Linked DNA regions of Struthio camelus. The protein of the gene in region 2 interacts with the protein of the main gene of each other region in a biochemical or structural test. Links are inferred from orthologs where the notes say so. Each region holds a gene or a part of one and is shown on either strand. Other genes may lie near its edges.

What was found. The genes of interacting proteins can lie anywhere in the genome.
Region 1: the proteins of ARFIP1 (region 2) and ARF3 form a complex in vitro, tested with the Homo sapiens proteins (2 studies listed by BioGRID). The link is inferred for Struthio camelus from reciprocal best matches to the Homo sapiens genes ARFIP1 and ARF3.

The regions. Positions count from the first base shown.
Region 1 is NC_090969.1:994,637-1,001,909, reverse strand, and holds the start of ARF3 (ADP-ribosylation factor 3), read right to left. Parts: upstream 3,005-7,273; 5' UTR 2,893-3,004; intron 1,634-2,892; exon of another isoform or gene 1,631-1,633; 5' UTR 1,589-1,630; coding exon 1,441-1,588; intron 1,230-1,440; coding exon 1,119-1,229; intron 1,012-1,118; coding exon 887-1,011; intron 86-886; coding exon 1-85.
Region 2 is NC_090945.1:38,491,668-38,499,633, reverse strand, and holds the start of ARFIP1 (arfaptin-1), read right to left. Parts: upstream 3,008-7,966; 5' UTR 2,824-3,007; intron 1-2,823. Other genes in the region: TIGD4 (tigger transposable element-derived protein 4), read left to right, coding at 3,868-5,415. UniProt on the Homo sapiens protein: Plays a role in controlling biogenesis of secretory granules at the trans-Golgi network. Mechanistically, binds ARF-GTP at the neck of a growing secretory granule precursor and forms a protective scaffold.

The sequences.
Region 1 (7,273 bases), on a different chromosome or scaffold from region 2:
CCTGGATGTACCAGTTACGGTGGCGCAAGGAGTGCAGCCCCAGCTTGTCCGTGATCTCCGCCGCGTTCATGGCGTTGGGCAGGTCCTGGGGGCAGAGACGGGCGTCGCGCGCCGGGCTCGGACACGCCGCGGCGGCCGCTGATAACCCCCCCCCCCAGCCCCGACGCCGTGGGGATGGGCACGGCCGCGCCGCCGGGGGTGGGGAGGCAGCTGAACCGCCAGCCACGCCGCCGCGGGGACAAGCGTGGCCGCATCACGGGGGCTCCTAAACCGCAGCCCCAACGCCGCGGGGATGGGCACGGCCCTGCCACGGGGGCTGCTAAAGCTCAGCCCTGATACTGGAGGGGGCTGCAAAATCCCAGCCCTGATGCCATGGGGATGGGCAGGGTCCTGATGGTGGTGGGGGGGGGAGCGCTGCGAAATCCCATCCTCAGTGCCATGGGGATGAGCGTGGTCACGCCACAGGGGCTGCTGCATCCCAGCCCTGACGCCATGGGGATGGGCATGGCCCCACCGTCGGGGCTGCTAACCCCCAGCCCTGGTGCCGCAGGGACAGGCACAGCCCCACTATGTGGGTTGCTAAACCCGAGACCCAATGCCGCAGGGATGGGCACAGGCCTGACGCCACAGGGGCTACAAAACTCCAGCCCCAATGCCATGGGGATGGGCACGACCCCATTGCGGGGGCCACTATACCCCAGGCCTGAGGTCACAGGGATGGACAGGGCCATGATGGGGCTGTTAGCTCCCAGCCCCGACGCCACATGGATGGGCACGGTCCCGATGCCACGGGGATGAGTATGGCCCCAACACGGAGCCTGTGAAACCCCAGCCCCGACGCCACGGGGACGGGCACGGCTGAGTCCCGCCCCCGCTCCAGCCCCACCTGCTTGTTAGCGAAGACCAGGAGCACAGCGTCCCGCAGCTCGTCCTCCGCCAGCATCCGCATGAGCTCCTCGCGCGCCTCGTTCACCCGCTCCCGGTCGTTGCTGTCCACCACGAAGATCAGCCCTGGGGGGACGGAGCCCACGGCGCTGGGGGGCAGGACGGTGCCGCCCCGGGGCTGCCCCAGCCCCCGGGGGGCCCCCGGCCTGGCCCCCCGCCCTGCGGGGACCTACCCTGGGTGTTTTGGAAGTAATGCCGCCAGAGGGGCCGGATCTTGTCCTGCCCACCCACGTCCCACACGGTGAAGCTGATGTTCTTGTACTCCACCGTCTCCACGTTGAAGCCTGCGGGGAGCGACAGCGGAGGGAAACTGAGGCCCAGGCGGCCGCCCCACACGCGCTCCCCGGCGTCCGCGCGGCCACCTCCCTCCGTCCCCACGTCCCAGCTCGGCTCCTCCTGCCCTTAGGGCCGCCCGGGTGGGGAAACCGAGGCAGGGAGGAGCAGACCCCTACCATGGGCAGGGGACCCCGGCGCGTCCCCCTCCTCCCCGCACACCTATGGTGGGGATGGTGGTGACGATCTCGCCCAGCTTCAGCTTGTAGAGGATGGTGGTCTTGCCGGCGGCGTCCAGCCCCACCATGAGGATCCTCATCTCCTTCTTCCCTATGAGGCTCTTCAGCAGGTTCCCAAAGATGTTGCCCATGGTGCCGGCGGTGCTGGCTCCGTCCGGAGGCAAGGCCGAATCCTGCGGGGGTGCAGGGCGAGCGCTGGGCCGCGGGGGCCAGCAGTGGGGCTGGGGGTGGCCACGTGTCCTGGGGGGGGCTGCAGGGCTCAGGGATCCCCCACACCCCAGGGGGCTGCAGGGCTTGTGGACCTCCCACACCCTGGGGGGGTGCAAGGCTCAGGGATCCCCCATGCCCCAGGGGGCTGCAGGGTTTGGGGACCCCCCCATACCCTGGGGGGGGTGCAGGGCTCGCGGACCCCTCACATGCTGGGGGGGGTTGCAGGGCTCCAGGCCCTGCTCCGGGGACCCTGGGGGCGGCAGGGCCCCCCCTTGTGCTGCAGCCTGCAGAGGGGCATCCCAGGCATGGCACCCCGCGGAGGGGAAACCGAGGCACGGCGCTGGCAGGGGAACCCAGGCGTCCTGGTTGCTGACCCTTCCCCACCTCCTGCTCTTGCGGGGGGGGGGTACAGCCCAGCCCCCAGCCCTACCCGCCCCCCCAAAGAGGCAGCGGGGTGTCCCCAGCACCACCAGTAAGGGGCAGCCCCGGTTCCTGGGCCCAGCAGCGCCACTGCCCCCAGCCAGCCCCGGGGCACCGGTGGAGCCCCCCCAGCCCCGTGGGACCCCCACAAGGCAGGCATTCCCCCGCCCTGCATGGCCCCCCCGCCCTGTTCCTGGCACCCTCCTTCGGATGCAAAGCCCCCTCCGGATCGCGCTGCACCCCTCCAACGCACTGCACTCCTCCCCCCGGTGCAATGCACACGCCAGCGCCTTGCACCCCCCACCCCCGGTACGATGCACCCCCCCGGCTTGCACCTCATTCCCCCCCCGGACTGAAATGCAACCCCGATGCATTCCCCCCCCCCAATGCATTGCACACACACCCCCGCGCAACGTGCCCCCTCCATGCAGTGCATCCCCCAAATTCACCGCACGTTCCCCCTCGGTGCACCGCATCCCCCTCTCGGTGCAGTGCATCTCCCGCCTCCCCCGTGCAATGCCCCCTCCCCCGGTGCACCGCACCCCCCCCCCAAAGCCTTGCCCAGCCCCTCCCCCGGTGCAATCCCCCCCCCTCCCCCGGGTGCAATGCAGACTCCCTCCCCAATGCACCGCTGCCCCGGTGCAACGCACCCGCCAATGCATCGCACCCCGTGCAGCCCCCCCACCCCCCCGCCCCCGGTGCGATGCAGCCCTCCCTCCCTTGCACGGCTCCCCACGCTGCAGCGGCCGCGCCCCCGCGCGATGCCCTCGCGCGTGGACGCGCCCCCCCCCCCGCCGCCGCGCACCTGGTGCCGGTGCCGGTGCCGGTGCGCGCCCCGCCGCCCCCAGCTGACTCTGCACCGCGTCCCGCCGGCCGGAAGCGGAGGCCCGAGCGCGCACGGATCTCGCGAGAGCGCCCGTTCCACCCCCCCCCCCCCGCGTCGCCCGTACCGGGCCCGGGGGCGCGGGGGGGTGCGGAGCTCGCGAGAGCCGCGAGCCGTTGCCATGGCAGCGGCTGCAGCAGTGCGGGGGGTGGGGGTGCACCCGGGGGGGTGCGCGGGGCTGGGGTGCACGGGGGTGCATGGAGGTGGGGCGCACGATGGGGATGCATGGGGCTGGGGTGCACGGGGGGAAGGAGGTGGGGTGCACGATGGGGGTGCATGGGGCAGGGGTGCGTGAGGGGGGTGCATGGGGCTGGGGTGTGCGATGAGGGTGCATGGGGCTGGGGTGCGCAATGGGCGTGCGTGGGGGCTAGGGCGCATGAGGCTAGGGTGCATGTGGGGCATGCACGGCGGGGTAGGATGCACGGCGGGGTTGCATGAGGCTGGGGTGCTCCAGGCTGGGGTACCCAGGTGTGGGTGCCGGGGGCTGGGGTCCACGATGGGGGTGCATGGTGCTGGGGTGCACCGATGAGGGTTTGCAGGGCAGGGGTGCATGCAGCTGGGATGCAGGGGGCTGCATGCAGGGGGCTGCAGTGCAGGAGGCAGCGGTGCACAGGACTGATGTCCGTGATGGGGCTGCGAGAAGCTGGGGGGGGTTCTCTGACGGTGGTGCGCAAACGTGTGATGCATGATGGGGTGCCGGGGGCGCAGCAGAGAGGGTGCACAGGGCGAGGAACGTGATGGGGGTGCAGATGGTGGGGTGCGCAATTGGTCTGGGGGGATCCCCCATACCCCGGTGGGGGTGCATAGACAAGGTGCAGCGGGTGTGCGGGGTGGGTGCGGGGTCCGGAGTGTCCGGGCGCACCCACGAAGTGCGCCCGCACTGCGTTTGGGGTGCCCCAGCAGGGTGTGCGGTGGGGGGGGCTGCAGAGTCCCAGATGGGGACACCCTGCATTGCACAGCCCTCTGCACCACACTGCACGGCCCCCTGCACTACACTGCACGGCCCTGTGCACTGCGCAGCCCCACACACCACACTGCACAGCCCCGTGCACTGCACAACCCTGTGCACTGCGGTGCACACCCCTGTGCATAGTACAACCCCCTGCACCACACTGCACAGCCCCCGTGCACTGCACAACCCTGTGCACTGTGGTGCACACCCCTGTGCATAGCACAACCCCCTGCACCACACTGCACAGCCCCCGTGCACTGCACAACCCTGTGCACTGCGGTGCACACCCCTGTGCATAGTACAACCCCCTACACCACACTGCACAGCCCCCGTGCACTGCACAACCCTGTGCACTGTGGTGCACACCCCTGTGCATAGCACAACCCCCTGCACCGCACTGCACAGCCCTCGTGCACTGCACAACCCTGTGCACTGTGGTGCACACCCCTGTGCATAGCACAACCCCCTGCACCGCACTGCACAGCCCTCGTGCACTGCACAACCCTGTGCACTGTGGTGCACACCCCTGTGCATAGCACAACCCCCTGCACCACACTGCACAGCCCTCGTGCACTGCACAACCCTGCAGTGCGGTGCACGCCTGTGCATTGCACAGCCCCTCCACACTGCACAGCACCCCTGCATTGCACAGCCCCATGCACCACACTGCACGGCCCACATCTGCACTGCACGGGGGAGCCCTGGGGACACCCTGCACTGCATGGCCTTCAGCACTGCCCCGGCCAGCCAGGCTGCAGCCGGCCCAGCACCAGTGCTTCCACGGGGCTGGGCACCTCGCAGGGCCGAGGCTGCCGCATGCGGCCTGTTCCCAGCTGGATCCTCACTGGTGCTGGGTGCCGGGTGCACTCAGCACCTCCAGCTCCGGCACCTCCTTGCCCTGAGCCATGGGGCAGGAGCGGGGTGCTTGTGAGAGGACCCAGTCGTCCGGGGCCCCAGCCCCCCACAGCGCCACTGGCAGTGGGGAGCACACACGTGTGCGGGACACGTGCCCACCCAGCACCCACGCTGTGGGGTGCGCAGGCCCTGCCCGGTTGGCTGTGGGGGTCCTTGGGGGTCACTGCCACCGACTGGTCCTGGGGGACCCCGCTCCCCTGGGGCTGGAGCCAGCAGTTTGCACTGCAGTGGCGGGCAGCAGCGGGGCTGCGCGGGAAAAACCCAACGCTGAAGGAGCAGGAGGGACACGCGCTCCCCGCCAAAGCGTCCCGGGCCCAGGGTGCCCTAACCCAGACCTCATTCCCTTGCCCCCAGCCAAGCCGAGACCCCCCTTATTGAGCCCACCCGGCCCCACTCCTCTCCTGGGGCAGGAGGAGGGACCCAGGCACCCAAGCCCCCCCTGACCTACCCACCGCAGAGGCAAAGGCAGGTGGTGGGTGAGGGCCCGGCGGGACCCCCAGGGCCTCCCTGGCTGCCCCCGTCCCCTCTCGTCCCCCCCCACGAGGCCCCGTCCCACGGGCACATCCCCCCCCTGCAGCCGCCCAGGTGTCCTCCTGTCCGCCCCGTCCGGTGGGCAGCCCCCCCCCCGGCTGCCCGGCCCGCCGGCCCTGCCCCGGGGCCGCCGCCCCCCCTCGCCTCCGCTCCCGGCCCAGCCCCGCTCCGCCGCCCCGGGCCGCCCCTTCTCCGCCTGCTCGGTGCGGAGCCGGCCCGGCCCCGGTCCCGGCCCCGGCCCGCCCCCGGACAGCCCCCGCCTCTCCGCCCCTGGCAGGTAAGGCCGGGCGCACCGGGGGCACCGGCCGCCCCGACGGCTGCCAGAGCCGCTCCGCGCTGCCGCGGGCCCCGGCTCGGCCGGCCCGAGGCGGCGGGGCCGCGATTCCCCGGGGCACGGCCCGCCCGGTGCCCGCCCGGTGTCCGCCCGGTGCCCCCCGCTTCCCCCGGGGAAAGCAGAGGGGCGCCCCGGGGAGGGTGCGGCGGCGAGCGGGGACACCGGGGAGGGTGCGGGGGGCACTGGGCGGGGGTGCGCCTGGTCCCGGGGACACCGGGGAGCGGGCGGGGGGAGCGGGCGGGGGGAGCGGGCGGGGGTGCGCCCGGTCCCGGGGACACCGGGGAGGCATCGGACGGGGGTGCCCCCGGTCCCGGGAACACCGGGGAGGAGCGGGCGGGGGTGCCCCCGGTCCCGGGAACACCGGGGAGGCATCGGACGGGGGTGCCCCCGGTCCCGGGAACACCGGGGAGGAGCGGGCGGGGGTGCGCCCGGTCCCGGGAACACCGGGGAGGCATCGGACGGGGGTGCCCCCGGTCCCGAGGACACCGGGGAGGAGCGGGCGGGGGTGCCCCCGGTCCCGGGGACACCGGGGAGGAGCGGGGGGCACCAGGCGGGGATGCGCCGGTCCCGGGGACACCGGGGAGGGTGCGGGGGGTCCGGGCGGGGGGGGGGGTGGACGGGAGGCGCCCGGAGGCACCGGGCGAGAGGCGCACTGCGGCGACCGGGCAGAGGCTGCGCCCAGCGGCGGAGGGGCGCAGGGGGCCGGGGGCGGCGGTGAGGGGCCGCCCGTTGTGTCAGCTCTTGGCCCGCTCCGGGCGCAGCTGCGCGGGGCGCCCGGGAGCCCCGGCCGCCCGGTGGAGCGGGGGCCAGCGCTCGCCGGGGACTCTCCGGTGGGGGGTGGATATTGGCGGGGGGGGGTAGGGGGTCGCGTTTCGGCCCCCGCCGCTGGTGACACGGCCCCGGCCAAGACCCTCCCGGCCGCGCCCCGGGGCCTCCCGGCGGCCGCTGACCTCAGCCCCGGGAGCCGCTCCGGGGCGGCGGCGGGAGGGCGCGGCGAGAGCCTGGCCCGGCCGCCGCCGCCGCCGCCCGGCCCCGGCCGCCCCCCCGGGGCAGCGGCCCCCGCGGCCGGGAGGCGGCGGTGGGGGGCGGCCGGGGCGGAGCAGGTGCCAGCGCCGAGCGTGCGGCCGCCCGTCCCTGCCTGCACCTGCAATGAGCTGCGGGGTCTCAGCTCAGCGCGCACGGCTGAGCCCCGCTCCCAGCGGGGCCCCGGCGTCCGGCGGGGCCCTGGCTGCCCCCCACGATGCTGTGCCGGGGGCGGCGGGGGCGCCTGCAGGTGGGACGCATGCCTGGGAGCGTGCCCGCGTCCGGCGGAGGGATGGAGGACGCGGGGCTGAGCTCCCCATGGGGCCAGGGCCCCATCGCCACCCATGGCCACACGCAGAGACCGAGGGCTCCCAGCTGTGTGGGGGGGGGGGGAAGAAGGCACGGCAGGGGCACAGGCGGGAATGAGCACAGCCCTCTCGGGGCGGGGGGAAGCTCCTGCCTCAGTCCCTGCTGCCACCCCCGAGGTGGGGACCCTCTCCCCACAACAGTCCCGGCCCTGTGTCCCCCCCCAGCCCAGCCCGGCTTTC
Region 2 (7,966 bases):
TTAAATATTTACTTTAAAAGCTACAAGAAACAAGAAGTTACTTTCCTTCCGGGAAGAACTACAAGAACATAGTTCAAAATAAATGATAGATGAGCCTGTCGAAAACAAAGAAAATTACATCTTCTCACCTGCTCTGATGGAAGTTTCCCTAGTAACAACCAAGAACATATGTTACAAGTCAGTCCTCTTTAAAGAGACCAGCCAGCAGTATCAAGCCCAGAATACAGGCATCCAGAAGAGCACTGAACAAGTACTTTGCAATTCTAAGAACTGAATATAGCATCCATGACTGACACAGGACTAGAAAGTTTGGCAAGGGTTGTTTTCAAAAAGGATTTTGAAGGAATCTTGCCCATCTCTTGCAGCAAAGAGATTTTCGTCTTTCTTTCACCATCTTTCTTGATAGAGCTTTTGAGGACTTGAAAGGAGCTCTGACCCAAAGAGATACTAAGTTTACAGAATGTCTCAGCAATTCTACTCTTTCACATTACTCTTCTGAGTCAATAGCCAATTCATCCCTCATTGACAAGATCGTAAAGAAGGTAGATTTCTTAATACTCTCACAGAAAACAGCTCAGAGTTGTTCTACTTGGAAGAAAGTGATTGACCTATATTCTGATACGAATTAAAGCCAATAACCCTGACCAAAAAGCAGAATCCATCCTGTTCTCATCATTCCTACTCCACTGGATAACTTTAATTGTTTATTTTTTTAACTAGATCAGTTCTCTACTCAGCTCACCTCAAAGCCAAACAAATACACGTACCAGAGTAGAACAGGAAGAAATAGTAGAGAATAGAGTGAGATTCTTCCACCTCCCAACAACATCCCAAAGGAGTGCCAACTTAAACGCATATCAGACTGCACCCTCACTCATTTTAAGTTCTGCAAGGCATAAACAAACGCGCATGATTTTTTTAAATGCTGGGAGGTTACATATCACTTCTTCAACTGACAAAGTAAGAAACAAACTATAAACAACAAGCAAAGGTTCAACTAGGATGAAGATTTTGGTGACATTTAACCAATTATAATAAGTGGTTATATAAGCATGCTTAGGAATTAGGTCCATTTATGATTTAAACATGATATCAGCAACAAATTTCTTTTAAATAAAGGGTTTATTCTTAATGTAGTTGTATTACCTAAGTGAATGTCTACCTCAGTCTCAGGACTGAAATGGATTTTCAACAGTACTTCTGCCTTTCTAAGCAGGATGCCTTGGCTTCTTCACTTAAGGTTTTCTGTTGAGAAGGGAGTTGCTAATAAGGTAAAATCCAGATAACTTCTGTCCAAATAACATTTATTATACGCTTATATTATTGTCTTCTTACTCCGCTGCCTGCAGAACCAAGACAAGTTTTGCAACTTTGCAGCCAGTGTAAGTACTGATGGAGAATAATGATTTAATACATACTTTTTAAATTTTGATTTATAGCCTACCAAGAAGAATACTAGGTTTTGCCAAGATCAAGTTCTTTTTTTTAAGAATTTAAAAGAACTACATTACACACTTTCTGCTGCAAATCACAGCACGGTTTCCTCTTCATACTCTTGCAATTCCCTTGCTGCTCCTATAGGCAATCAACATAAGTGGCTTTTTTGGTTGTTGTTAGGTACAGGAAGGATAAAAAGCAAAAAAACCCACCAAAGTCTACTTTACAGAATGAGATTCTCTCATATTTCACTTTTGAAATAACTATTCATATGTCAATTTATTCCATTGCTTCAGTTACGCTTATAAGAGCTAACGATGCTGCTATGAGAGTTACAAGGCACCACAGAGAGGAAGATCAGGGTCAAGGCCATAACTAATATCCACAGTCCCTACCCCAGGCCAATCTGTCCCTAACCTTTTTAACACTCTGCTCCTCTCCAGATTAACTAAGGCTCCAGTTATGACCTCTATGAAAACAGATAGAGCCAAGTGATCAAGACATTACCTTAGCTTCCACTTTTTCCAATGTAATGTTCCTCCGTGTTATCTATTTCTTACACGTTAAATATGTGCGTGCATGCATGCATATATACAGAAATACAACAAAGTGGATGTATCACAGTTGTAAGCCTTGGTGCCACACTGATCACACTGCATCCTTCTGCAGTGTGCAAAGACCCTGCAAAAGCCCTGCAAAAGACCCTTACGTATCTTTCTAGTGAACCACTATACAGATAACAAAGCCGGTGACAGCAAATGACAAGGCCTTGTTACCAGCTCCACTAAGCATAAAAAGAACATGCTAGGCACTGAAACTACATCCAGTCCAGGGAAAGTGAGATGAAAGGCTATGAACTGGCTCGAGTTAAAAGGCATAGATCAAAGATGCACTCTAAGTAACCAGCAGAATTGCTTATCGGCTGCAAGCAATGACAGACACAACACCTGCTTGCTGCACAACACCCTGGTGTTTCCACGCTTTGCTAGTGAATTAAGCACAGTAAGCTGGCGGCAAAACACAAATCTGAACACGTAACACAGTAAGTCTAAGGGGGTGGCCTAAGTCTTGGGAGCCTGAAACGTACACAGCTTGTAAAGCTTCTTCCCTCCCCGCTTTTTTCCTCCCTCGAAACCCACCTTCTCGCGGGCTCAGGCCCCGCCTGCCCTCTCGGGGCCGGGAGCCGGCGCCCAGCAGCGCCGCGCTCCCGCCCCGCTGCGCTGCGCTGCGCTGCGACGGCCCCACACCGCACCCGCGCTGCCGCCGGCACCGGCGGGCGGAGGCCGGCGGGCCCAGGGACACGTAGGGGCGGCGCGCGCCGGGCCCAACCGCCGCCCCCGGCCCAACGGCCCGGCCCGGCGCCCCCTGTGCTGCGCCCGCCCTCACCTGCGGGCGGCGCTGCTGCCGTTGCGGGTGCCTCGCGCTGGGGAAGAGGGGAGGGGGGGGAGAGGGAGGGAGGGAGGGAAGGAAGGAAGGAAGGAAAACCGGGCGGGCGAGCAGGACGGGCCCCGTCTCGAGCTTTATTTTCTTCCTTCTCCGGTTCCAGCTGGAGCCGGAAGTACTTGGCCGGAAGTACGGCCGACGGTGGCCCCGCTGGGGACACGCGTTCGCCTCTCTAGCCCACGAGGAGCGTGTCTATGCTCGCTCCCCCCCCCCACCCCCGGCCAAGCGGTAACCTTAGCAACAACATCCGGGGCCACCGCGCCTCACCTTCCCCCTCCGCCCCGCCTCCCGCCCGGTGCGCCTTCCCCCCCGGCAGCGCCTCCCTCTGCGCCGGGTTCCGCCGCCCGGCTCGGTTCCGCCTGTATTTTCATTTCTCGCTCAGGCGGCGGCTGGGGGCGGCAGCCCGGGGCTGTGGGGGGCCCTGGGCCATCAGCCCTGGCCGGCTGGGTGCGGGTGGCCGGCGGCGCTGGAGGCGGCAGGCACACGTCCAGCACGGCGGCGTGACCTGCCGTGCCTGTTGTCCTCCCTCTCTCGTGCGCGACCTGAAAGAGGCGCGGTACACCGGGAGAGGGAGCGACGGCAGGCGAACTGGGGGGGGGGGATGTGAATCCAGGGGGAAATAAATAAAATACAATAAAATAAATCCGCAAAACGTTCAGGCTCTAGGTTCACTTCTCATTCCTTTTCCCGCTTCTGTGAGCGGAGACTCACCCCCCCCCCGCCCCGTAGCCGCCCCACAGGCGCGCTGCCAGGCCTCCTCGCCTCAGCCGTCCTCGAGCGGGGCGCGCAAATCCTTTTCCCGTCCAAAGGCATGCACGGAGTTAAAATTCACCGAGTCGGTAGTTACGTGCCACTTGTAAACGCGAAGACTCTGCCAAGTGCGATGCCCGTGACATCAGGATGCATCCGTCTAATTAAAGCCGCTGATATCCCAAAGCGACAGAGCGGGGCGCGTACGTGCGCATCCGCGAGGCGACGCGGAGCACCATGGCCGAGGCACCGGGGAGCCCTTCGCCACTGCCCGCGGGAAGGAAAAAAAAAAGCATATCTATCGAGGAGAAAATTGACATCATCAGCGCGGTGGAGAGTGGCAAGAGAAAGGCAGACGTGGCAGCAAAGTACGGCATAAAGAAGAACTCGTTGTCTTCAATTATGAAGAATAAAGAGAAAGTTTTGGAAGCCTTTGAATCTTTGGGATTTGATCCTAAAAGGAAAAGACTGCGGACTGCTTTTTACACCGATCTGGAGGAGGCATTAATGAAGTGGTACAGAATCGCTCAGTGCTTGAATGTGCCGGTAAATGGTCCTATGTTGCGCCTCAAAGCGAACGATTTTGCCCAGAAGCTTGGCCATGGTGATTTTAAGTGCAGCAACGGCTGGCTTGACCGTTTCAAGTCAAGGTATGGGTTAGTATTCAGAGCTCAGCCGGTAGGAGCAGCTGCAACTGCTACGGTGGACGCTTTGACTCTTTGGTACCAAAATGTTCTTCCTTACTATTTGAATGACTATCAGCCAAAAAACGTGTTTAATGTAAAGGAGACTGGGCTGTTGTATCAGATGCTACCTAATAATACATTTTCATTTAAAGGGGAAACGTGTTCTGTTGGTAAGCTAAGCCAAGAGAGAATAACTGTTGTGGTTGGCACGAATATGGATGGCTCCGAGAAGCTTCCTTTGCTTGTTATCGGAAAAAACAGAAGTCCGTGCAGTTTCAAAGATGTGAAGTCGCTACCGGTGGATTATGAAGCAAATGGTAGGGCCTGGATGACTTCAGAAGTGTTTGAACAGTGGATGCATAAACTTGATGAGAGATTTCAAGCACAGCAGCGACGAGTCGTTATTTTTGTTGATCCTCTCCCAGCGCACTCAGAGGTAAAGCATCTGAAGGCTATTGATTTAGTGTTCTTTCCTCCAGACGCTTCTTCATGTATAGCTATGAAACAAGGGGTTATCAGAAGCTTGAAAGTTAAATACAGGCACTGTCTTTTCAAGAGATTTGTTGACTGTGTAATAGGAAGTAAAGAGTTTATGCTGACTCTTCTTGATGCGGTTGAGATGTTGCACCTGTGTTGGAGTCAAGTCACACCAGAGACTATTGTTAAAAGTTACAGTGAAGCAGGATTCAAGATAGAAACTGAGAAAAATGGTAATAATGACACAGAGGTTGAAAGTGATTTTGACTTGATTGCACATGCACTGGCAGCAGGAGTAGAGTTTCCAGCAGGTTTATCTTTGGAGGAATATGCAGTTCTGGATGATGGTCTGGCAATTTGTGAAATGCCTGCAAATAATGAAAGGATGTTTCAAAGTGCCAAAAAAAGCACTTCAGATCAAGCTGGGACATCTGTTGATGATGAAGGTGGTGATGAAGGTGATGCATCTCTGGCAGCCGAACAGCCTTTGCCATCAAAAAATGAGGCTCTGAGCGCTTTAGATACCCTTCGAAGGTTTCTCAGGAGTCAAGATGCGAATGATTCTCTTCGTAATTCCCTTGCTGACCTGGAGGATTTTATTCAACATGTAGAATGTAAATAAATATTGTTAACAAAACATGTAATGGAAAAAAGGAATTATTTAAGCAAACACAAATACGGCAGCTTATAAAAAGTGTTGCTGCAAAGTTCTCTAGTGTATCTTGCTTGGGTGCCTAGCTGTACATAATAATTGACATTTGAAATTACAAAAAAAGGCTGTGAACTGAAGCCTTCCAAAAATTAGGAGGAAAGAAAATAGACTTTCAGGTGGAGAGAGGAAATAACTTGAACGTTTAATATGATAACTGTAGTAGGTACAACAGACACCAAAATGACTCTTACAAGTTCTTCTGTGCACTCTGGCTGAGCTAGTGCCCACTTGAAATTCTGTGTCCATGAAGAGGTTAGCACTTCTTCACGTGGATACTTGCACTAGTATCTTTGGTATTATTTACAGTATAACAGTAAATATTTATGAGCTTGATGCTTTTGATACTTACACAAAAAATTGAATAACACAGAAAATTGACACTTGAGTCCTGAAAGCTAAGGGCTTTTTTTAAGAAGAATTTTCTTGTACTTGTTCAACAATCCCAGCTATAGGTTATTCTTGAGTGATGAACAGAGGAAGTTAGCAGCTTTGAATGTGTTTTATTTTCTTAAAGCTGCTCTTGTGTGGATATACATAAGTGGCATAATCATTTATCAAAGAATCAAAAGACAAGCAAGACTTTATTTGTTCTTCGAAGGGTTATTTTCCCAAAAGGGATCAAAAAGGAAGGTCACGCTTCTCCATTTCAGCCTTTTTGACATTTGGATTTCTTTAGGCTCTTCTGTACAACTCTATATATTTCTGCAGTAAATAGGAACAAATATTAGATTATGCAATATCTGCACTTGACAACTTATTAAGGTCTTGCTGTATTTACTATAGCTAGTAATAAACAAAGTACTTAAACCTGTCTTCATTCTTGTGCAGTGCTGTATAGCATGAAGACTTTGCTGCAGAATTCTATGCACCAATGCAGTTTACTATTAGAAACACTTTTAACAGAGGGGTTTTTTTATTAATGCCTTTTGAAATGAAGTAAATCATAGTACATTCGCAAGTCATCAAGTATGTGTTTCAATCAATGTACCATAGCCAAAAATCTGAATGCATATGAGGCCTACTGTTAGTGATCTCTTTCAAAACCTTATACATTTTAGCCTCTTTTAAATATTTTCCATATCTACCAATTTTAGCTTTTCGAAAGTTAGAGATGTTCATTTTTCTAATTTAGAGGAAGAATAAGATGTTTTACAGAAGCCCTTTAGGAAATCCGTGTAATAAAAGTATCCATTATGGGGCTAGGCCATGAGAAGCAATCTCTTGCCTATTTGAATGTTTAGTTTTCTATAAATGGCTTGGCTATAGCTTTGGTTACTTTCCTGGTAGAGGACAGTTTATCAATTTGCTTTTCAGAAAACATTTTATCAAAATACTGTAAGACAGTGAAAATACAAATTTCTATGTGAGAAAATACCTATGGCTAAAGTGTATGAATGTTTTACTAGAATCTCTAAAAAAATCATATTGTGGTTTCCTGTTATAAAACATCTAATGTGAATTCCATCCAGAACATACTCTGATGAGATGCCTCTTTTGAAATTTAAATAAATAAAGCCCTACCCAGAGATTTATAGATTCTGTGAAAGAGGTATCCCTCTCCATTAGCTGACTATTGTATGAAAATACAGATACAAACTTTTTTAAATTCAGAAGCTGTGTCAGAAAACAATCACTAAATGTCACTTGCTTAAATAATGTAGATCAAGCTTTTGAAAAGTTTGTTTGTTTGTTTGTTTTTGGCTAAACTTATTTTAAGTTTGTATAAATCCCATAGAACCCTATGGCTAATTTTCCCCACTAATCTTACGATTCAAAGCCCATATTTTTCTAACCAGTGGTTTCTCTTGCTAAAGGTAAATTTAGGGAAAAGTAAAATAGTGTGTTCCTATTTCTATTATCCATATAGCAAATTCCTTTATGCCTTAAGATTGCACTCTAAGTGGACCTGATCAGCCTGGGATCCCAAGAAGGAGACACTGGATTTCCCTCTAAGGGAATTCGGAGCGTGATGTGCTGATCTCCTGAGAGAGGCTTGCCTAAGTGAGCAGCAAAACTGAGTTAAGCAAGGGTTTAATCTGCAAGATCTGTAGTCTCTGCATGGTGCAGCTTCCAAGACCAGGAGATCTGATATAACCTAGTGAGCTGATGAGTAAGGAATTGAATTCCTGGATATTTACTGAGTGCTGTAATACTCACTCGCTCGTGGAAATAAAAGGAAGAATTCACCTGGACTTTGCAGGTGAATTGTGGAATTTGCTTTATAAAACAAACAAACAAGCTGGCAAGAGAATCCTTGTCTTTTACGGAAGATATTACTTTTTTTCTTGCCTCCTATTTCCTTCTGAAAAGGCAAGCTAAAATGCACTCACTAAAATTATTTTTTTTACGCCAGCCACTTTGTATGCTAATACTAAAACTTTCAAAATTATTTAGGAGCCCAAATATTTCTTCTCACTTGGATTTTGTTTACATTTATTGTTGAATACAGAATTGGAGAACC